Kluyveromyces lactis: one gene and its partners. The protein of the gene in region 1 binds, or shares a complex with, the protein of each later gene. Links are inferred from orthologs where the notes say so. Each region holds a gene or a part of one and is shown on either strand. Other genes may lie near its edges. The genes, in order: GPI1, SPT14 and GPI2.

Region 1 (8,696 bases):
AGGCTTAGTCGAGTGTTTTCCTAGGCAGGGATGGGGCAGGTTCAGTCCTTTCTAACTCGAACCGCTCCTCTGAAATTTCACTTGCTTGATGCATTGGAAGATCGGAACATTGGACAATATCTCACTTTAATATTTCATGCATCATTATATACTTGTTCATCTCATCAACAATAATACGTTAGATAGGACAGGTTACGATTCACAATTGATAGCTCCAAGAGAACAAGAATATATCAAACAATGTCTTTGCCATCTACCTTCGACTTGACCTCAGAAGACGCCCAATTGTTGTTGGCTGCCAGAGTCCACTTGGGTGCTAAGAACGTCCAAGTATGTTGAGAAATTTACGAAATATGGATACGAACTTCGGTTTGGATAATACGTATTCGATAAGAGGAGTGGTGTTTGTTCAATACCAGAAATGCATCAATTAGAAAGAACTGTTACAAAAAAGAGAATATTGTATCACAGCAAGATTAGCTGTCATGATACTTCTGTACTTATGCTTGTACCTTGTTTTTGCTCGTGTTTTAAATCAATAACATTGGTTAGGCCTCTCCGCAGGTTAATCATGGATGTTGAATATTTGGCACGGTGCTACTAACTAAATGAGTGCTGATGTCAAGGATAATGGCTTCACTCACAAGAAAGAATATGCAAATATTTATATTTGTTGCTCTTTACCTAACAGCATAGAGGATATACGTACGTTAAACATTCTATTTCCCCTCGTTATTTCAATTCTGATTCCCTTCGAACAAGGATATCAGACTGAAGTACGAGAGGATATGGTTTTAACTGAATCTGTTAAAAGAACAACAATTGAAATGGCCTGCCATTTCTAGGGAACTAAAATAATAATAAAAAAGTACACGAACATCTCCTCTATCATATGGTAATATCTGCACTTCGAAAAGTGTATCCTGTCGCATGTTGCGGTTGGGAAAAAGCTCTCTCTTTACTAACAATATATTTTTAACTTTTGCGAACGAAACGTTTGCATGGTTATTTTTTAATTATTAACAGGTTCACCAAGAACCATACGTCTACAAGGCTAGACCAGATGGTGTCAACGTTATCAACGTTGGTAAGACCTGGGAAAAGATTGTTTTGGCTGCCAGAATCATTGCTGCCATTCCAAACCCAGAAGATGTTGTTGCTATCTCTTCCAGAACTTATGGTCAAAGAGCTGTCTTGAAGTACGCTGCTCACACCGGTGCTACTCCAATTGCTGGTAGATTTACCCCAGGTTCTTTCACTAACTACATCACCAGATCTTTCAAGGAACCAAGATTGGTTATCGTTACTGACCCAAGATCCGATGCTCAAGCTATCAAGGAATCTTCTTACGTTAACATCCCAGTCATCGCTTTGACCGATTTGGACTCCCCATCCGAATACGTTGATGTTGCTATCCCATGTAACAACAGAGGTAAGCACTCCATCGGTTTGATCTGGTACTTGTTGGCTAGAGAAGTCCTAAGATTGAGAGGTGCTCTACCAGACAGAACTCAACCATGGGCTATCATGCCAGATTTGTACTTCTACAGAAACCCAGAAGAAATCGAACAACAAACTGCTGAAGAAGAAGCTGTTGCTTCCGGTGAACAAACTGAAGAAGCCGTTGACGCTACTGAAGAACAAACCGAAGCTGCTGAATGGGCTGAAGAAGGTCAAGCTCAAGAAGAAGAATGGAACTAAACTTCAAGAATTCTTTAACTGAATTCCTGGAAGTTATTCCACCTTTTTTTTTGTTTAATTCATCATTCTATAATATAGATTCAATGCTTAGCATACTATCATTGTTATTATTATAGCTTCATGCAACAACTCTCAACCATCCGCTCATATTTTTAACTATTTTTACTAGTTTTTAAAACTCCACATCGTGTATAATTTTAATATCATTATTGATCCAGGCTAGTACCCGATAATTATACAAAGAATTGAATATTATTTAATTGATTGAACGTGCCAACTGAATATTTCCCCTTCAATGGTGCTTCAGTACCCAGTATGGCAATGTGACCCTTCTCGCATCTCTCATCGCTCTTATCCTCATCATGGTGATAATTTCCTGATAATGAAAATTTGAACATTGGAACATTCGAAAAAAAACTGAGCTTGCATAAAATAGAAACCTGCTGCAGAAGTAGTAAGTGAAAGTACCAATAAATAGGTCTTAGGTGTGCTTTAACTCTCAGCGAACTAGTTTGCGGGTTGTTCCATCAGTTATCACTCATATTTTCATATTTTGAGAAATGTCTGTACCCAAATCTAGGCTACTGAAGCTTGCTGAGATATCAGCCAAAGTTTTTGATCAAAATTTCAATCCAACAAATGCCAGAACTGGGTCTAAGATCCTAGCACAGAGGCTTAAAGGACCTGCTATTGCGAATTATTATGGTAACCCAGATTTTATCAGATTCAAGCAATTGAAGAAACTATATCCAGGCATGAACTTCGTTGATGAAGAAGAACAATATAGATTGACTATGCTTGAACTAAGAAAGCGTAGAGGTAAGGGTGCTCCAACTAAGAAGAGAGAGGCCTCTGGTGACGGTAAAAAGACCAAGAAGAGAAAGTGATCAAAATGAGCCCAGCCTATCCTTTTATCCCACTTAAAGGGACTTGCAATTAACATTTCCATCATATAAAAATACCTTGTATATAAATTATATCAGTCAGTTCAAATAGACCCAAGAATTTAACGAATTTCAACTATGTTTTTATTAAATACGAATATTCAAGTAAGATTCAAACTATGCAATCTGTGCCATTAATTGTGGTTGTGAGAGGGGTTTATATCGTATCTTGTTCCATTACCATCTTTAACTTTTTCCATAGTAAATCGATATCAATTGGATGTCTCGGTAGATTATGGTACAAAACACGATAGAGTTCATCTCTTCGTACATTAAGAACTGATCCCTGACTCACCATCTTCAAAGTCTCAACCGAGAACATCTGTCTTTGAATGGATTTCATGACGTTTGTGAATGGTTCAAAGGTCATGAAAAAGCTGATTGGATTATTCGATATTAATAAGTGATCATCATATACTTTGAACTTGATACCACCAGGTAACCTTTTAGCATCTTTTATCCGTAAAAGCAATGCAAATAAAGGGAAATGGTTGATAAGGGCCAAACTTAGTTCAAGCAACACTTTCACTGTAAGGTCAACAAATCTGAACACTGTGTATACCAAATAGAATGAAAATAACGTTGGCAACAAGAAGATTAACACCGTGAATATTAAAGTTCCCATCAATAGCTGATCTAATTCGAAGTACATATCATCAACTCTTCTACGTAACACATTTTGCTTCTTCCCATAAAACAGGTAGAATAAACTCTTCAACACATAGATATGAACATGATAAAGTTTGACACTAATCATGTAAAATAATGAGATATGCAGCGTCATGATCCACAGGAAGTCAACAGCCAGGGCCAAAGTGAAAGTGAACCCTATGACAGCACTGATATGAGACATTACTGTTATTCCCTGTCGTATAGTTTCTGGTTCAATGCACGAGCGAATCCATCCGGTATAAGTGAATTCGATGATTAACAAAAAAAGAGAGCTTAAAAACCTGGAAAGCTCATCATTAAGTTTGATACCCAGTGGGTTTTGTTCTAAAATCAACGTCACCTGCATGGGAAGCTCATAAAGTAAATACTTTAAAGTTGTACTGATATTTTGGGCCAATGTAATACGGTTTTCATATAACACAGTTCCTAGTGTGGCACCAAACGAAACATCGTTTATGATGAGCCAAAGAGTATTGTAAAGTCGAATATAATCAGGATAGGTTTCGCAGGGAAGTGCTTTCGGTAGCACAAGGTGGCTTTTACGACGTTTAGTGAAACCCGAACTCTTATCATTTTCATCTATGCTACCATTTTCATCTGTTCGAAGGTCTAGATCAGTCAATTTGACATTTTTATTAATCCTTAGATATTGTACTGGAATATAACAAAGTTGCTGGCATCTAAGGTCAATCTGCTGAGCAGTTGCGAATAACTTTACCAATGGCAATACCCTCCAATTTAAAACATACGACACAAATCCTGCAACAATTCTTATCAAGGCGGCACCATAAAAAGCTAAACATCTAATACCTCTGTAAACAGAAGTTGCACGCATCCGCAATTTCAAATCTGTTATCGAAATATTCAACGTTGATTTGTTCTTGTATATTGCATATCTCTTATAGAACACTTCGAGATGTTGATAGTATAAATTGAGATGATCGATATTCTCCCGCAATCTCGATTCCCACTTCTTTCTGATGTTAAAAACCGATGTACCATCATGAATAGCGCTATTATCTGTTGTTTCTACACCGAAATCTTCGAATGGGTTCTGTAATATTAGTGATATCGGCTCTAACGAGTAAAATTGCATCATTTTTACCTTAGGTGGATCGAAACAAATAGTTGTATATTCAGCTCTCCATTGCTCAGCTGTTTCAATTGAGTTGACATTTCCCGAGTAAATCCTCCCAAACTCGCTATAAGGCTTTTCCACAGGCCTGTACTTTGACGCCTCTATGACAGCGATGACTAAAGGATCTGAACTTGAGGTCTTCAAAACTATCACCACTAAGGGCTCATCGGCCGATTTGCATTGCCGTAAGAGTCCTGCAGGCCAATATACATAAGTCCGTCGATCCATGAACGTCCTTGCAGTTTCACTGCACCTGCTATATAACTATTTTAAGGTATGTGATTACCGTACTTCGTAATTCATTCCACAGCTTGCTATTTCAGCTGAAAGCTTTGATCTAGTTTGTTTCTAATTATTGACATGGATATTTAAACTTTAATGATATTCTGAAGCTGGTATCACGAGAGATGATTACAAAAGAAGAAACACAGAGTGCCCAACGCCAGTCTTGAATTCCTGATATAGCCTCAAGTTCGAGTATCACGTTGGTTATAAACGTAAGTTCATCCTGTAGCTTTCTTCATTACTCGACGGTTGTATTAATTTTATTTTAATGGAGGGGGGAAGTTCTCGTTCTCGATCGAGGTCCAGAAGGAATTCTGTTGGTGCATCCTTCCTTGACCTACCAATAAACTCAGATACTGCATCTGATGAGGCTAATGCACCGAATTTAGATCGAATATCGCGTTTGCAACCGCCGGTTATGACATTTTCCGCTGCAGATGACGACGATGACAAAAAAGGGCTTATAATAGAAGAAGAATCGTTACGATCATTTAACCAAGATCCATCAACTGATAGCTTATTAAATGCTAATTCGATAAGTGGTGGTTCAAACATGCTATCTATTACTGACGATGATTTACAAGATTTCAAACATTTACAAGACGATGTGAAGAACATTCTAGGTGGGGACACTTCCCAATGGTTACGGAAACCTACATCAGACGGCCACTCAGAAAGAAGTCGAAGCACACGTGGATCAAGAAGGTCATCCATCCACGAAACCGCTCCTGTTGCCAGGGATCATAGCTCTGATCTATTTACTGATGATTATGAACTTCAAAGTATTCCTATTGGAACTGATACACCCTCAGTGAATGCTTTCGGTTATCATTCATCCTATCAGACATCGACTGGTTCGATTCATTCAAATCACACTCGAAATCATGACGACGTAGGTTCTGCTCCGACAGATACGTATGACAATACTATTAATGATGAAGAAGATGACGATCCCGGAATAGATAGAACTATAGAGAGGCATCTTCAATTGTACGGGAAATCCTTAGGGTTTATTTCACCAGACAACCGTTGGAGATTGAAATGTGCCTCAATTCTTCTGAAAACATGGTACAAAGCTTTCTCTATGCTTGTCCTAACTCTCTATACTATATTTCTAGCCCATAGTGTATTTTTCGGCAGCACAGCATCAGGCGAAAAGGATTTCAGTGCTCCATCGTCAGTTTTTTCTTACGTTGCCACTTTGATATTCAACAGCTTCTTCACTTTTGAACTCATTGCCAAGGTCATTGCTTTTGGATTCTGGAACGATTCTGATTTAATGAATGCAATAGGAAAGAACTATGTTTCATTTTGGGATGTAACTGGAATAAGGAAATTTTATAGATTCTTGGAGACTCATTACTCTTCAAAATTTATTCACAGCATTATACCAATCAGAGCACTATTCCAAGAAACCATAGACGAAAAAAAGTCAGCGGCTCTCAAAAGTTCTGTCACTGTTGCAGACTTTAGAAATGTTAAATCTCCCGTCGATATACCTAGAGCATTTACTAGAAGTAGTTGGGGAAGACTTGAATTGTTGTCGACGATTTCTGCTTGGCTTGCATATGGCTTAAGTATTAACGATTATGATGATGTACACGGGTTGAGATTATTCAGGTCTTTAATGGCATTCAGAATTCTCAAACTTGTGGATTTGGACTCTGGTTTAGTTTCTATCTTAAGAGCCTTGAAATACGGAATACCAGAACTTCTAAATGTCGGTTTTATGCTTCTATATTTCTGGGTTTTCTTTGGAATTCTAGGTGTGCAAACATTCAAAGGATCTTTGAAGAGGCAGTGCGTGTGGTTCAATCCAAATGATCCATCTGATTATTATCAGTATGACATGCAGTTTTGTGGAGGATATTTAAATGCGGAAACACTTGAGCCAATGAAGTATGTGTTTGCGGATAATAGTGAAGGACCATTAGCTAAGGGATTCTTGTGTCCAGCCAACTCCAAGTGCATTTCGAATGCAAATCCGTACAATGGAAGAATCAGCTTTGACAATATTGTTAATTCTATGGAATTAGTTTTCGTGATAATGAGTGCTAATACCTTTACTGATCTAATGTACTTCACGATGGATACAGATAATATGGCAGCCTGCTTATTTTTTATTGTTAGCATACTATGTCTCACGGTCTGGATGGTCAACCTTTTAATTGCTGTCCTTTATTCGTCCTTTGAAGTTGTTCATGAGAAGTATACCATAGATAAATTTTCCACTCAAGATAATTACCTTGTGTTTAATGTGAAAAGATTGGCACATCTAATCAAAAGTAAATCAGACACAACAAAATCACCTGCATGGGCAGAACGAGGAATTAGGCTTTACGAAAAATTGGAATGGTTTTTTGTTCTTGCAATTTTTACCAGTATTTGTGCACTTGCTTCAATGAAGAGTCACAGTTCCGATCAATCAGCTCAGGATATATTCAGCGTTAACCAAATCGTTTCTTGTATTCTTGTGGTTGAAACAATATTACGGCTAATTTTATACTGTAAAACTCCATGGAAATTTTTAGCGAAGCCTAATTATGTTTATGATTTTATTATTTCAATCATTTGCGCTGTTCTTTCGTTCAATAGCTTGCGTATATCTTTGGGACAGACTTCTGCATGGCTATTGTTCTTCCCAATTTCAAGATTCTATAGAGTTGTCATACTGTTCAGTGTGACGAGAAATTTATGGAAAAAGGTATTGAAAAACGCAATAGTTATATGGAATTTATCTGCCTTTTACTTCCTATTCGTGTTCTTGGCATCATTAATCGTGTTGCTATACTTCGATGGAACTCTAGATGCCGATGATATGGAAGACACTCCATTTGGATTCTACTCTTTACCTAACGCCTTTCTGACCCTTATTAAAATCGCATCAACTGAAAATTGGACAGATTCACTTTACGCACTCCAAAGAGATTCTCCTACTTTATTTTCGGCATTGTTTGGTTCAGTTCTACTTATTCTATGGTTCATTCTCTCAAATTTTGTTGTTCTTAACGTATTCGTTGCTGTAATAGCGGCAAGTTTTGATATTGAAGAAGAGGATAAACGTTTGCTGCAAATTAAACATTACTTAAAGGTCACTTATCCGGAAAGAATCAGAGAGTTTTCCGTGGTACCTTTGCTTGAGCGTATCAGAAGAAAATTTTTGCGTAAACCGCAAATTGATGATTCTGAGGACTTCAGGCAATTTTTATTCAGAGGTACTGCTATTCTGAGTATTGCTCAGAATTACGAAGGATTCAATATGGATCTTTCAGAAGATAAGGATCATCAGTTTGCCGATAGGAACGTCAAATCGTCATTTTGGAACAGAATTCTATGGAGATTAAAGGCACTTAACTTTTACAAAACGAATCCTTTTTTTAAAGATCCGAAGGTGGTTTTTGTTCAGTCTGATGATACAACCCCATCGAACAGGAAATACACATTGAAACTGAACGATTGGGAAGAGGAAAAGCTTAGATTTTTGAAGCAGCATCCGAACTTCAATAACACGTACTTCATATTTCCACCAAATCATGCTCTTAGACGATTTTGCCAAAGACTTGTACCTCCTAGTTACGGGAAGAGGACTAACAATAGAGTTTTTTTTGATGATACTACCAATAAAGTCGGTCAAAAGAGATTCTTCTATAATATTGAGAAAGACATTTTTGTGTTTGTGACGTTTGTTGCTACCTTGTTGATGGTTATTTATTCATGCTATGTTACACCGTTATATCGCATGAATCACAACAAAAAATGGAATTGGACTACTTATTTTGAACCGGTCTTTGTTCCATTGTTCACAATAGAATTTTTGGTAAAAACTATTGCAGATGGGTTCATTTACACACCTAACGCTTATTGCCTGAATCCTTGGAACAGGATAGATTTAGTCGTATTAATTGCACTATGGATCGATTTTTTTGCGTGGTTATTAGGAAACGGGGAATTGGCAA
Region 2 (8,263 bases), on another chromosome or scaffold:
ATACCTTACAGTACTGCCAGATCAACTACTCTTTAGTTCTAAAATGAAACAATGGATCTGGAATTAGGAGATAGGGTAGTGCTACGCAGCCTGGCAGGAACTGTACGGTTTATAGGCGAGACGCAGTTTGCAGCGGGGATTTGGATCGGTGTTGAGTTAGATGAACCCTTAGGGAAGAACGATGGTAGCGTCAAGGGAGTCAGGTACTTTGAACTCAGTGAGGGTAGAAAAGGTCGGATGTATGGTATATTCAGTAGAAGAGAGGGTATCTATAAAAATTCTGCACCGAACTCGCAACAATTTCAGGATCCTGATACTACGAATTCTAACTCATCAGATCCCGAACGATTGAAAAAGATCATTGGAAGATTGGAAGTTAAACTCAAGTCAGTTAATGACAAATGTATTTCGTTTGAAAAGGAGCTGGGATTGAGATCAAAAGAGCTTGAAAAAGTGCAATTTCTCGAGGAACAATTGGAGAAATTAACTTTAGGACGAGATGAGGCAGAGCAACGCAATGATTCACTGATATTTGAATTAGAAAGCTTGACCATTGCTCATGAAAGTGCTTTGAAGGAGCTTAATGATTATAAAGAAGAAATTTTAATAAGAAGAAAAGCAGACGTTGATGTCAACACTGATCAGATAGAATCAGTAGAATCAGATGCCCTTATCAAGCAAAACAGATTATTAACGGTTGCACTACAAAAGCTGCAATCAGACCTAACAGAAATACAGAAACAATGCAACGGTTTGAAAAATAGTAATGAAGAACTGCAAACCCAGGCAGAGACATATTTGCGAACAATATCAGCCTTAGAGAGTAAACTATTTGAAACAACAAAAACATTAGATGAATTGAAACAGCACTTCAGTGCGAATAGTAATTCTAATAACATCATTGAATCTCTTACTACAGAAAACCATCAATTAAGTACGGAGCTTGATTGTCTTAAGTCAGAGTTACTCAAGTTGAAACAAACTCAATTGGCAGATGAAGAACTAGAAGCACTTTATAAAGAGGTCGAATCGGAGCTAAATTCTCAAATAGCGAAACTTCAGGAAACTCTCTCTACTGACGAGAGCATAATTAACGCATTGAAGGAAAACAACAAAACCTTAAAGAATGAATTACAATCACTGCAAAATAAATCGGGGCAATATTCTCAAGAAATGTCACCAGAAGTTGAAGAATTACAAGCAGAACTTACTTCGTTACAATTAAGGAATAATGAGCTTCAATTCCAGAACGAGGTATCTTCTGCAAAGCTTAGCCATCTGAAAGTGGATAACAAAGTGGAGCTACTTTCTCAAATTAAAATCATATACCTGAGAGACCAACTTCTTAGCCAAGACGCTGTGAGTATATGCACATCTCAACTAATTTTATTCATATATTATGCGATGATTAAATATGATGCTGGTGTGACATATTTGAAAGAAAAGATCAATTTGGACTTATTATTGGAATCAGTAAAAAATAGTCATCCAATCAAGGTTCAATTATCTCTATTAGAAAATGCAGACATCACTTTATCGGATCCTAGGGTTCTATTTACGGCTATTCAAATGTTTCTTGAAGCGTCGGTGGAAAGACTTTTGTCCGATACTGAACACTTGTCAAAGGAATCTGATCAGCAGCGAATAAGAAGCCTGTATAACACTTTCCATACGATTAACACCTTCGTCACCACGAAATTGGAAGAGCTTTATGAATTTAATGGAACCTTAAAGTCTGATGTGAATTTATTCTCGATTTATGTTCACTTTGCAACGTCAGTCCTATCCCTACAGGAAAAACCAAATGAGTTGTCAGTGTGTTTAGAGGAAATTAAACAAATTCCTGTCGACATGTTGGAAAACAAGGAAAGAAACACTTCAGTTGAAAAGAATGTGATACAATCCCAAGCTCAGGTTGAAGTTCTCCAACAGACGATATCTGAAAAAGATCAAATCATCCAGGACTTAATCCTCAAAATTGAAGTTCTTGAGTCGAAATATGCCAGGAATAAGGAAATGGAAGGTTCCTTATCCAGCTTGAAAAATGAGCTATTAGAAGTGAAATCAAGAAACTCTAGCCTTCAGGATGAATTGGTGAACATGGAGGCGGAGTACCAGCAGTATCGCAACAATAGAGAACAAGAAATAAAGAACGCCAATAATTTATTTCATACAAAGGCATTAAACAATATCCAATCGCTTAGAGAAAACAATGATAAATTATCATTGATCGCTGAAATCTCAGATTTACAGAGGATTATTCTTCGAAAAGAACAAGAATCTCGCCTCAAATTGTCCATACCATTGTTTGATACTCATCGAAAACAGTTTTCCAGTAGAAACATGTTCAATGATTTCAACAATATGGCAAATATCTTATCGACGTGCATTGAGTTAGCAGACCCTATCATCTCTAATGAGTTTACCTCCATTAGGAAGCACAGGCTCGCAAAATTGAAAGAAACTCATGAATTATGTGTGACATATACATACGAAATGCTCAAAGGTGAGTATTAATTATTAATCATTAATCATTATATATGAGGGTCTCTACAAATGCGGGAATTCCATTTAACAACCCTATCAATATCACCTGCTGGATATAGAATTTCTAAAATATAGAGTAAAATATATTCCACTATAGCGCAAAGAACATACAATAATCTGGCCCAATTTCCATCTTGTCTATAATACTTTTTTAGCATAACGACCCAATTCTTGTTTAAGGAGCGTACATCTAAAGATATCCTGTCATAAACCTGGACGGTTCTTTCAGCCACATTCATCCAGTCATACATTTGTGCGATAGTTTCATGAAATTGTGTTGTATTAACTTTGCTATGTCCTATGCGATGTATCGCTTTGTTCATCGCCTTTATCAAACTAGATACCGAGGTTTCCTGGGCATATACGGTCATATATTCAGGAAGGACCTCCGGTATACCACCGACAGATGTTGTTACTATTAGTAACCCGCACGACGCAGCTTCAACCAAAACTGTTCCAAATGCTTCAGTTAAACTTGCATGCAGGTATATATCCCCTTGGCACATGACATCTCTAACATGTTCGTGTCGCACAGATCCTAAAAGTTGAACGCGTTCCTGAAGCCTATTATTTTCTATCATTTGTTGGAATGCAATGAACTTTGGCCCATCTCCAGCAACAATGAAATCGACGTTATCGTTATTCGTACAAACCTTTGGAATTAAGTGTGTCAAAAGGTCAGCTCCCTTATTGGTATACAACCTGCAAATCACCACTACTGTTATTCTGTTAGATTTTTTCTTTATTGTTGAATCTCTAGGCTTGAAACTGCTGGAAACAACCGCATTCGGTATGACTGACACATTATCTGGATCAAGATTTGCTCGGAGTATTATATTCTCTTTACAAGTATGAGAGACAGCAATGACAGCATCGATGTTGCATAAAGTGAATTTTAGTAGCTTATTGACAAGAATTGAACCGAGACTATCAAATCCATATAAAGAATGGTCTGTAAACACAGTCTGTATCCCCATTGTATTCGCGTGTAGTATTCCTTCGTGCGCAAAACTGGAAACACTTCCATGCGAATGTAATACATCAATCTGTTCTCTAATCAAAATATTTCTGAATATAGGAAAGCTTCCAAATACTGTTGGAAAAGTGGTCTGTCTATAGAGTACCAAGTATGGAACATAGTAAACTTTCAAACCGTTTGATAGATATCGTATTCCTGTTCGATCTCCGTAGGCATGAGTTATAACACAAACATTGTGCCCCATTTTGATTAGCTTTTGAGATAAATGGTATATATGGAACTCAACACCCCCAAGCTGCGGGTAGAAGAAATCGCAAACCATAGCTATGTTGTATTTTTGTTCAGCCATTCTTTAGACATTGATGTGTTTGATATGAATTAAGTGTTTAATATATCGAAACAATTTATCGTTCAGATTAACCCGTTTTGGAGCTACAACTTTTGTTAGACTATACAAAGAATATTTGTATAATTGCACTGAAGTTTTAAATCTCTCAATATGCTTTACTTTAGCGTTACTTAATCTGTACTTTCACTCCTCACTCTTTACCACTTTCTGTTGACTGTTTTTCGATCTTTGGTTGTCTCGATGAGTATTTTGTACAGAAGGTTTAAAATAACCTCGAAATTTGGAAACGTAACCTTTTCCAATACACTTCCGAATATTATCTTGAGGGGTTATCGAGTAAGCAGTGAGATTTCAAGCATATTTAGTTGGTCCACGTTAAGCCAGCGAATAGAGCATTTCGTTAAAGCCTGAAAAATGCCTCGTGCACAAGGGCGGTACCAAGGCGTCAGTCAAGATGAGGATGTCAGTCTTCCAGATGTGTCTTCGGAAAATGTCGTTGACCTGGATGAATCTTTACTACCGCCAAATCCTCCTGAATACGACATCGAATCGCGTCCTGATATACTTCCAATGGAACTTGATATAGAACAGGAAGATACTATTAGTTCAGTGGGTCGTTTTCAAAGGTTAAAGACCAGAATTGAGGATAATTTGATATTTCCAATGAAGAACAATGTTGTCGATCCTCTCGTACAGGTATATCAAATGGCTTCTGCGAAGGTTGATCTATATTTGAGCAAACTGGGAAATCCTTTAATCCTCCGCAGATTTGTGTATATACTTTTCATGTCAGTGATTGTGTACACCGTGGTTATGAGCGGATTGATGCCCAATAGCAAGAGCACCGCCACTATCGGAATGTTCTCGGATAAAAACCAATTAATCTATTACGCGAGACGTTCCATCGACTATGCGAAGTTAGAGGAAGATATGGAATACTTAAGCAGCATGCCTCATTTAGCTGGTACTAAAGGTGATTATGCTATTACGAACTATATCAGAGAATCGTTCAAAAATAATGGATTAAAATTAATGAAGGAGGTTCCGTTCCAAGGATATATGAATTTCCCAAACGAGGTTGAGTTTAGCGTTACTACTTCGGACAATAAAGTGCATGAATTTGCTTTATCAAAGGAAAATTTTAACCCATTAAGCAGTAACGGGAACATTCAGAATGCCGATATAATATATGCAAATTATGGGACTGTCGCTGATATCCAATCATTGAAAGAAAACGGGTTACTTTCCGACAATACTGTTCTCGTTATGAAATATGGAAACTTACCTAGTGAGCAGATACTTGTCGCTGAAAAACATGGTATCAAAGGTATTATTTTTATATCAAAGCCCTTTGGAAATGATGGTGATGTCATACAGAAACTCTCAGTAGCGATTCCTCAGTACGGTACTGGTGATGCTTTGTCTCCTGGTTGGAGCACTCTTTCGCCAAAGAAAATCGGATTGGAAAAGTCACAGTTAGTACCGCACATCCCAACCATACCTATCTCGTATAACCAGGGTCTGAAACTTAAATCAATTCTAAATGATGGTTCTCCCAGTATCAAATTCGAGGACTCCTGGTTTAGTGGCAGAAAAGATGATGTCAAATGCAACCTAAGGCTAGCCAACGCTGAAAAGACACTACAACCTAGCTGGAACGTGTTGGGTAAAATAGAGGGTAAAGAACAAAAGGATAAGGCCATCATAATCGCTGCTAGTCATGATTCAACTTGCAAGGGAACCCTTTATCCAAATTTCGGTACGTCTTCTTTGATGGCTCTATTACAGTTATTCCAACAAACCAAATATAAGTACGATTGGAGGCCACTAAGAAATATCTACTTCATTTCATATGATGGCGCGCAATATAATCACGTAGGTGCCACCGAATTGATGGAAACCGAAATGAATCAATTAAAAAGTGAAGTTTATGCATTTATTGATATTTCTCAATTAAGTGTCGATCCGAAAGCCCGTCGTGCGCTTGATGTCCAGGCAACACCACTATTACAGAGTCTTTTCAAGAATACTAAACAGTTTGATGTAACCGTTAGAAACATTGCACAATACGGTGATTGGACTGCATACTTGGCGAACGGCATCCCCACTGCTGTGTTAAGCTCCCCATTTGTCTTAAACCAAACTCCTCCAATTTCAACTTGTTCTGATGATTTTCAACATTGGTCTGAAGAAATTAAGGGAACTGAAGGTGCATGGGAACAAGTCGCAGATACCCTCATTTACACCTATGAAATGTTGTTAAGACTTATCGACGAACCTTTACTACCCTTTAATGTCCGTGATTACGTTTCAAATCTAGATATTTTATTCCAGGATTTACAGAAACAAGGTGGCAATAACTTTGACTACGCTTCCATTCAGCAAGGTTTGAAAGCATGGAAAAAAATCAGTGACGAATGGAACGCATGGGTACACACGTGGAATAATATCGTCATGATGGAAGACGAAGGCGTGGAACCGTCGTTAGTTTCGGTTCACAGATGGACTTGGAATAAAAAAATAATGAATATTATGAAGAGACAATCTCTTTCAAGTGGTATTCCCGATAGAGAATTCTACAAGAATGTTCTCTTTGGACCAACGCTCTGGACCCAAACTAATGGCTATGATTCATGGTCATTCCCTGGTGTGAGAGATGCATTGACTTCGGGGAATTTAAAAGAAGCTCAAAAACAAATCAACATTGCAGGAAATCTGCTAATATCTTCAGCTCAGTCATTTATTGACGAAACGGCTAATTCATTTTAAACTTTTTTGTTCACAATATCAATCCCAATCAGCATAACGTTTTCCCCGCAGAAATATGTTTTCTGCTTCCTTTATAAAACAATACATATATACTCTTCAAAGAATTCATACTTTTACTATGAATGGGAGTCCCATTTGAGAAGGTCTTCATAAATGACAAGCTACTGTTTACCAAATGGTAATCAAGTATCAATTGATACACTTTAAAGTGCATAGATTTGTCAACCAATTTCCTGCCGGTATTTTTATCGGTCTGAATTTTGTTTTCTCTGATTGAACTGTTTCGTATGGCTTCCATAAGTTGTCAACGTACCCGAATACAACAGTTTCTTGATGAAAAAAAAAAGGTTTGGCCGTAATTTCGCTGCAAAGATCAACTCAGAATAAAGGAATACAAAAATGTTGGATCTTCTATATAAAGGACCCAGAGGGAAATATTATCTATATACCATTAGACTCTCAATTACGATTTGGTTGATTTTGTTGTAACTAAGTCTGAACATAGAGTTTCGATAATCAAGTCTCAATCTTAAAGCAAATGTCTTTTATTAAGAACTTTTTGACAGGTGCTGTGAAGACCACAGCTGACCCAACGGGTTTAACGCAAAGTGGTAGCGGCAACGAAGGTGCTAGCTCTAAGTCAAATGACCCAATTGTGGAAGGAAAGTTTTATCCCAGAACGCTATCCAAATTCAATGGACATGACGATGAAAAGATCTTTATCGCAGTTTTGGGGAAAGTGTACGACTGCAGCCAAGGAAGACAATTTTACGGGCCTAGCGGACCATACTCTAATTTTGCTGGACATGATGCATCCAGAGGACTTGCTACAAACTCATTTGATTTGGATACAGTAAGACACTGGGACCAACCTATAGATACTCTCCAGGACTTAAACGAGCAAGAGCGGGGAGCTCTAGAAGGATGGGCTGCGCATTTCCAAAAGAAGTACCCATGCATAGGAAGTTTGGAAGCTGAACCCGGTGTAAACAATTAGAATATTTGTTCAGGCCTTGGTGAGATTAAGGACTATTTTTGTATTTATTTATGCTTCTGTTTTCTAGTGTACTACAAGTCCAGATAATTTATATGTCTGTATATGATGGATTAGGACATGGTCTCTGCAACTTCCTCAAAGAAGAAGCGCGAAACAGGTTCAGGCTGATTTCTACTCCTGAAACCATTTCTCGTCGTTCGCTGACTAGGATTCAAAGAAGGATAGTCACGTATTCTAAAAGTGTGCTCTTGTCCTATATTAATCAACTTCGGATCTTCTGTGTAACAGCACGGTATGTCGACAGTTTTCACGATTCCTTGTTCAGAATAATTGACCTTTAAATCTGCGTGTTTTGCTACTTCTTGCCTAACTGTGTGCCTCGAATTTTGATAAGGATCTCTCTCTACAGATGCGTTATTCACTATTCGTTTCATTGAGAATTTTCTACCGCTGATCCAAGATCTCAAATGTCCATTGGTTTCTAGAATTCTCACCTTTGGCGAATTCTCCTGACCTTTATTAAACGATACTAGAAGCAATGGTTTCATGTTACTCGATTTATGCGACATACCAGTAGGAAGATTAGCAATACGGTCTATTGGGATTGCAGATCTCTGATTTG
Region 3 (7,422 bases), about 650 kb from region 1:
AAGATAATTCTTGAATCCGTAAAACGTGACCTTTAATTCAGATCTCTAAATGCCAGTTACTTTGTGTCTGAGAGTAGTTTCCAGGTTGAAAGTTGAATATGGAAAAAAATAAAACTGAAAAATGTGAATGAATAAGTAAACAAATAAACAGCAAATGATTGCTAAATCATTGCCTTAGCAAGCTTGAACTATACCAGTACTTGAGCTTAGGAGTAAGCTGAATAAGGAACTAGGTATACTTGCTTAGCCTTTTAAAAAAAAAAAGCGTGAAAGAGAAGAACCTCTTAGCACAGTTTCCGGCTTGCTTAATATGTCTTCGAACGGCAAACAACAGGGAAACAAGGCAGGCGATGCAGCTGGGGGAGCGTCAGGAGCCACGGCTCCCGGTGCAGGCGGAAGTAGTGGCAATGGAAATAGTAGTGCGGCCGGAAATGCTAGCGCTAATGCCAATGCTGGCGGTAGCGGTGCCAGTGGGAATGCACCGGCAGCTTCTAAACCGGGGTTTTCAGCGTCAGATTTGAACCGCATCGTTTTGGAATATTTGAATAAGAAGGGGTATCACAGAACGGAACAGATGCTTCGTGCTGAATCGTCACGTACTTTGACGCCTCCAAATAAAAACGCTGCTGCTTCTAACACAATCCCTGCCTCGTCTGCATCAGCCACTGCGATTACAGGAAGTACTACCACTGCAAAACCTGTTTCAAATCCTTCGATGCCCTTGAAAAGAGATAACAACGGCCAATTGATAAAACCGCAACAGGTGACACCCTTGCACTATTTTAGAGCTTACTCAATGTTGAAAAATTGGATCGATTCGTCTTTAGAATTGTACAAACCTGAGCTATCACGTATCATATACCCGATTTTCATTTACGTTTTTTTACAGTTGGTCATCAAGGACCCCTTACAAGCGAGAAGATTCTTTGACAAGTATTCTGTCGATTACAAAGCCCTTCATGGATCAGAAATTAACCGATTATTCAGTGTCAACTCAGTAGATCACATCAAGGAAAATGAGTTGGCTCAAGGTTTCCAAACCAATAAATATAAGATCACAATCTCAAGAACTACTTTGAACCTTTTGTTGTATTTCTTGAACGAAAACGAAAGTGTGGGAGGATCTTTGTTGATTTCCATCATAAACCAAAACTTGGATCCAAATATCGTAGATGTTGTCAAATCTGAGGATATTCTCACCGACGGGATCAAAGATATCTCAACCGGTGATATTGATGTTGATACGTATAACTCGGTACCTGTGAAGTTAGGACCGTATCCAAAGGACGAAGAGTTCACCAAGGAAGTAGAGATTGAGTTGCAGAAAAAAGATGAACAAGAGGCAGCTGAGAATAAGGATAAACCTGTCGGTAAGACATTAGTTGAGGAATATAGAGAAATGAACGGTAATCAGAACAAACCAGAGGGCACTGAAAAAGCTGATGATAACACCGTTAAGGAAGAAAATGAAAATAAGGAACCTGAAGCTGAAGAGGGTGGAGAAGAAGTCGATGCAACAGCAGATACAGAAGAGAAAGGCACTCCTACACTTAGTGTCGAATCATCGGCTGCTGAAAGAAAGAAAAGAGACTCAAAGAATAAAGACGAGGAAGAAAAACCAGAGGCTTCAATTGGATCTATGATGGAATCACCAGCAAAGGATTCGTTGCCGCTACCGGTAAAAACAACTTTAGATCTAAAGATGGAAATTCAAAAAGTAAGGGAGAGTAGAGATTCCATCCAATTGAAAAACCTACAAACTTCTGCACCAAGTGTGTGTATGTACACTTTCCACAACACTAATGGTAATATGACTTGCGTAGAATTTAGTGATGATGCTAGACTAACTGCAGCTGGTTTCCAAGACAGTACAATTAAGGTATGGTACCTTGATGGATCACCGCTACAGTCGATCCTCCCATCCAAAGCTAAAGACCAATCGAACTCTGCTACTTTGGTAGGACACAGCGGACCAGTTTATTCCGTTGCATTCAGCCCGGATAACAGGTACTTACTTAGCGCATCTGAAGATAAAACTGTCAGACTTTGGTCTTTAGATACGTTCACTTGCCTAGTGTGTTACAAAGGCCATAACCATCCAGTATGGTACGTCAAGTTTTCTCCACTTGGCCATTATTTCATCACCGCTTCACATGATCAAACGGCTAGACTATGGTCTTGTGATCATATCTATCCGTTGAGAATTTTCTCAGGTCATCTAAATGACGTGGATTGTAGCACTTTCCATCCAAATGGTTGCTATGTTTTCACTGGTTCCAGCGACAAAACGTGCCGTATGTGGGATATTCAAACAGGTGATTCTGTTAGACTGTTTTTGGGACATACATCACCAGTCACCGCACTTGAAGTATCGCCTGACGGTAGGTGGTTAACTACGGGCAGTGAGGATGGCACAATTATCGTATGGGATATTGGTACTGGTAAAAGAATCAAACAGATGAAGGGTCACGGTAAGAATCCTATCTATTCCATAACTTTTAACAAAGAAGGTAACTGTCTAGTAACAGGTGGTGCGGATCAAAGTGTTAGAGTTTGGGATATAAAGAGGTTTACAAACGAGCCTGGAATGGAGCCGGAACAACAATTCAACACGTATTCAGGAGATATGGAACTCAGTGTAAATAACGATATCAAAGAATTCGGACGTAGGCGGGCAGTAATACCAACTCAGGATTTGATGGCTTCGTTCCATACAAAGAAAACAGCAATTCACAAAGTAAAATTCACAAGAACGAACCTAGTTTTGGCTGGTGGTGCATTTATTGAGTAAATGCGATTACTTTACTCAGCCAGATAAGGGTCGTTTATTCGACATATCTAGTAGTTGTCCAATTGTAATAAATAAAAAAAAAGAGAATGCGCTTTATCTTTATATTATTTACAATGAGTACGTATATTTTATGTGCATTGATATCAATGCAGTCAATGAAATGTAAATGTTAACAGAATCCTAATAACTAATCTAATATTGGTTTTTCAGCGTCCCACTGCTGTAAAATCGGATGTCCTTTATAATAGTAGCTTTCCCAGTGGATATAGTAATGAGGGATTCCAAATAATAGTAACAAAGATGATATTCCCAAAGGTATCGTGATCCCGACACCCATTAACTTCGTTATAAAATAGTAGACTGTACCATGTGTCGCAATAACACATAGTATATGCAGGAATTTCAACTTATTCTTTATGAAATACTTTTCCATCGTCGGCAGTAGAATGTTAATTTGGATACATATCAAAAGGAAACAGAAAACTTGGGTGGAGGTATCTAATCTTGAAGAAAGTACGGTCACATTTGAGAGTAGAATATTGGTCGGTAGGATTTTAGATTCAAGAGCGGAGATCGATATGATGTAAAAGGTTGTGAACCATGCAGATAGAGTCCAGATGGAATCGGACGAAGTTGTCTTGGACAAAGATTTAAGCACTGGAGATAAGGTCAACATTGCAAATATAATGATGATAGTGGATTTCCAGGGTACCCTCTTGTTGGCAACTATTAAGGAAACAGATGAAATTGAGGCAGCAATTAAAATCGGATTGTATTTGTAATGATAGAACCAGGCAAATATAATATAGAGTAACATAGTATTAATAATCATGTGGTAAAACTGGAAGAGATCAAGTAAAACAGACCTGTACGAGGAGTGAGGCCTCAAATGCCCATGTTCAATTTTCAACTTCTCCCATTGTTTGTAGAAACTTGGATCAGTGTAGGTATCTGGGAACGGCTGTTTCAACCACAATAACCGTTTCCATTGTTTCCCCGCAGCCATTAACAACTATAAGAGAAGACAATTTGTTATTCGGGAAACGACTAGCACAATATAGTCACTACAGTCTGGACAAAAGAAACCTGGAGATTTGCCGCTATACTCGCGATAAATCTCTGCGAGTGCAGGAAGTTACTTCAGTTCAACAGTCGTCGCTAGCTTTTTCGAATCATTAAAATTAGAGATTGATACGTAAAAAAGCTAATCCATTACAACTTAATATCACAGCACAGCCAGCGGGAGCACCCGCACAAGTAAGATACAAAGGATATAGCCTAACTTACTGCTCAACTCATTGCTACATATACCCAATGGATCAATCTAGCAGGGAGACATCAAATTCGTTTGATCAGGTAACCAGGCAATCTTCAAACAATGAACGAAGACCTACGGATTCTAAAGCCATACCGAGAACTTTACCCAAGGATACCGTTCCAGACGACGTACATGCTACACCAAAAGTGGATGACAAGGATAGGATATGGACAGATATAGATACACTAGATGATGTGAAAAGAATGGCCAGAGAGGGCAATACTGGCCTTACTTTCCCGGATAATTTCGAAGAGGATATTACCCGCTTACGCCAGATGCATGCGAACTTGATGCAGCACATGAAGAGACAATCAACAGAGACCCCAGGAAATCTTGAAGAACAACAGAAACACATCAATGATATCGTAGATACCATTGAGAGATATAACTGAATAAATACTTCAAATCACGTGATGAATCACGTGCCACAATTACCCTGACTTTTTGTTGAGTATTAGTGGAAGCTAAGGTTTCCAAGGACCACCGGTTTCTTCTACGTGCCTTTCACTATTTGTTTACTGGATGGTGCGAAACAAATAAAAAAAGCGGAAGCTGACAGAAATTACAAGTTGTTCCGAATAACGATGGGATATACGAATTGATGATTGAACGTAGTATGGAAAATAATAGGAACGTTGAGAAAAAAAAGGATTTGGTATTTTCCATCACCTGCGAATTTGAGGGAAATGGTTAACTTAAATCGTGGATTCTTTATATATATATATTCTCTGGTGAAGGTTCTTGATCAATTGCTTCTTCCAATTGGTATTTCGATTGTATTCTTGAGTCACGTAGAAAGGAATTTGTGATTAGGGTTTAATCGCTGAATTCTGAAGTGACCTTTTAACTGACCGTAAAGTACAATAAAAGGTTTTAAAGTTCTGTTAAGATAGATTCTAAAACAGAAATAAAAAGACAAATATCAGAAATGGCTTCTAAGAACACTTACTCTGACTTCAAGTTGGCAACTGAATTGCCAGCCTGGAACCAATTGCAATCTTTGTACGAACAAAAGGGTAAAAAGCTAAATGTTAAGGACGAGTTTGCTAAGGACAATTCTCGTTATGAAAAGTTTGCCAAGACGTTTGTCAATTACGATGGTTCAAAGATCTTGTTTGATTTTTCCAAGAACTTAGTTGACGATGAAATCTTGAAGTCTTTGATCCAATTGGCTAAGGAAGCTAAGGTCACCTCATTGAGAGATGCCATGTTCAACGGTGAACCAATCAACTTCACTGAAGGACGTGCTGTGTACCACGTTGCCTTGAGAAACAGAAGTTTGAAGCCAATGTACGTTGATGGTACCAACGTCACTCCAGAGGTTGACGCTGTGTTGCAACACATGAAGGAGTTCACCGAAGAAGTCAGATCTGGTGCTTGGAAGGGTTACACCGGTAAGTCTATTACCGATGTTGTCAACATTGGTATCGGTGGTTCAGATTTGGGTCCAGTTATGGTGACTGAAGCATTGAAACATTATGCTACCAACTTGAAGGTACACTTTGTTTCTAACATTGACGGTACTCATATTGCTGAAACTTTGAAGGATTTGGACCATGAAACCACTTTGTTCTTGATCGCATCCAAGACTTTCACCACTGCTGAGACTATCACTAACGCAACTAGTGCTAAGAACTGGTTCTTATCTAAGAACGGTGGTGACCAATCCCATATCTCCAAGCATTTTGCTGCTTTGTCCACTAACGCTACTGAAGTTGAAAAGTTCGGTATCGACACAAAGAACATGTTCGGTTTTGAAAACTGGGTCGGTGGTCGTTACTCTGTTTGGTCCGCTATTGGTTTGTCAGTTGCTCTATACATCGGTTTCGACAACTTTGAAGCATTCTTGAAGGGTGCTGAGGCAGTAGACAAGCATTTCGTTGAAACTCCATTGGAAGACAACATTCCATTGTTGGGTGGTCTATTATCTGTTTGGTACAACAACTTCTTCGATGCTCAAACACATTTGGTTGCGCCATTCGATCAATACTTGCACAGATTCCCAGCTTATTTGCAACAATTGTCTATGGAATCCAACGGTAAGTCCGTCACCAGAGGTAATGTTTTTGCAAACTACTCTACTGGTTCTATCTTGTTCGGTGAACCAGCTACCAATGCTCAACATTCTTTCTTCCAATTGATTCACCAAGGTACCAAATTGATTCCATCTGATTTCATCTTGGCAGCCCAATCTCATAACCCAATTGAAAACAACCTACATCAAAAAATGCTAGCATCTAACTTCTTCGCTCAAGCTGAGGCATTGATGGTCGGTAAAGATGAAGAACAGGTCAAATCAGAAGGTGCCACTGGTGGTCTAGTACCTCACAAGGTCTTCTCTGGTAACAGACCAACCACTTCCATCTTGGCTCAAAAGATTACTCCAGCTACCCTTGGTGCTTTGATTGCTTACTACGAACACGTTACATTCACCGAAGGTGCTATCTGGAACATCAACTCATTTGACCAATGGGGTGTTGAATTAGGTAAGGTTTTGGCTAAGGTTATTGGTAGTGAATTGGCCACTGATAACAAGATTTCTTCTCACGACAGTTCCACCAACGGTTTGATCAACCAATTTAAAGAATGGATCTAATGTGAGAATGCGATGCAATTTCCTTTTCACCTAAGATATGCAGTGAACTTAGAATTCCACATCTTTACGTACAACCAAACTAAATAAACTTCTTTATCAAAACGCTATGTGCAATGAATGACTTATATACGACAATGTCACGAATATCAACTACATTGGAAGTAATTGTTTTCACTTAATCAATCTCTTTTTTCATATTTACATTAAGGAAAATGAAAAATGATACACGTCCAAAAGATTCAACAACGCGTGATGTAGTGCGAGAGTACAGACATCGAGATTGTGACAAGATATAACAATACCAAGCTAGCTCATAGCATATAGAGGACGCAACAATGAGTGAGTTGATTATAGAAGAACCTCCAGAACTGGGCTCTGGAATTTCTAATGAAGTACAGCAAAGGTATACCAATTGGAAGAAGAATACAAAGTTGCTCTACGACTATTTGAATACAAACACATCGAAATGGCCATCTCTATCCTGCCAATTCTTCCCAGACCGTACTCTTACGAATGACAAACAAAGGATATTATTATCTTCATTCACATCGCAGCAACTTCCGCAGGATGAGTCAATTTACATCGGGTCCATATCTACCATGAATCATATGAAATGGAGTTCCATCAATAACTTCGACATGGATGAAATGGAATTTAAACTGGATAATTCATTGAAACTGAACGACAAGACATTAGAAGAAGAGGTACGAATAACGT

What was found.
Region 2: GPI1 (region 1) and SPT14 share a complex: the UniProt entries of both Saccharomyces cerevisiae proteins name them as parts of the phosphatidylinositol N-acetylglucosaminyltransferase (GPI-GlcNAc transferase) complex. The link is inferred for Kluyveromyces lactis from reciprocal best matches to the Saccharomyces cerevisiae genes GPI1 and SPT14.
Region 3: GPI1 (region 1) and GPI2 share a complex: the UniProt entries of both Saccharomyces cerevisiae proteins name them as parts of the phosphatidylinositol N-acetylglucosaminyltransferase (GPI-GlcNAc transferase) complex. The link is inferred for Kluyveromyces lactis from reciprocal best matches to the Saccharomyces cerevisiae genes GPI1 and GPI2.

The regions. Positions count from the first base shown.
Region 1 is NC_006041.1:1,434,789-1,443,484, reverse strand, and holds GPI1 (phosphatidylinositol N-acetylglucosaminyltransferase), read right to left. Parts: upstream 4,684-8,696; coding exon 2,803-4,683; downstream 1-2,802. Other genes in the region: RPS0A (40S ribosomal protein uS2), read left to right, coding at 241-330, 1,027-1,701; KLLA0_E16149g (uncharacterized protein), read right to left, coding at 1,935-2,099; RSM27 (mitochondrial 37S ribosomal protein mS33), read left to right, coding at 2,262-2,588; calcium channel protein CCH1, read left to right, coding at 5,009-8,696. UniProt on the Saccharomyces cerevisiae protein: Part of the complex catalyzing the transfer of N-acetylglucosamine from UDP-N-acetylglucosamine to phosphatidylinositol, the first step of GPI biosynthesis.
Region 2 is NC_006039.1:837,578-845,840, forward strand, and holds SPT14 (phosphatidylinositol N-acetylglucosaminyltransferase SPT14), read right to left. Parts: upstream 3,876-8,263; coding exon 2,535-3,875; downstream 1-2,534. Other genes in the region: NIP100 (Nip100p), read left to right, coding at 52-2,517; KLLA0_C09735g (uncharacterized protein), read left to right, coding at 4,290-6,644; DAP1 (Dap1p), read left to right, coding at 7,183-7,641; OSW1 (Osw1p), read right to left, coding at 7,752-8,263. UniProt on the Saccharomyces cerevisiae protein: Catalytic subunit in the complex catalyzing the transfer of N-acetylglucosamine from UDP-N-acetylglucosamine to phosphatidylinositol, the first step of GPI biosynthesis.
Region 3 is NC_006041.1:2,088,206-2,095,627, forward strand, and holds GPI2 (phosphatidylinositol N-acetylglucosaminyltransferase), read right to left. Parts: upstream 3,798-7,422; coding exon 2,979-3,797; downstream 1-2,978. Other genes in the region: TAF5 (chromatin modification protein), read left to right, coding at 311-2,791; KLLA0_E23497g (DUF5315 domain-containing protein), read left to right, coding at 4,106-4,501; PGI1 (glucose-6-phosphate isomerase), read left to right, coding at 5,038-6,705; MSI1 (Msi1p), read left to right, coding at 7,041-7,422. UniProt on the Saccharomyces cerevisiae protein: Part of the complex catalyzing the transfer of N-acetylglucosamine from UDP-N-acetylglucosamine to phosphatidylinositol, the first step of GPI biosynthesis.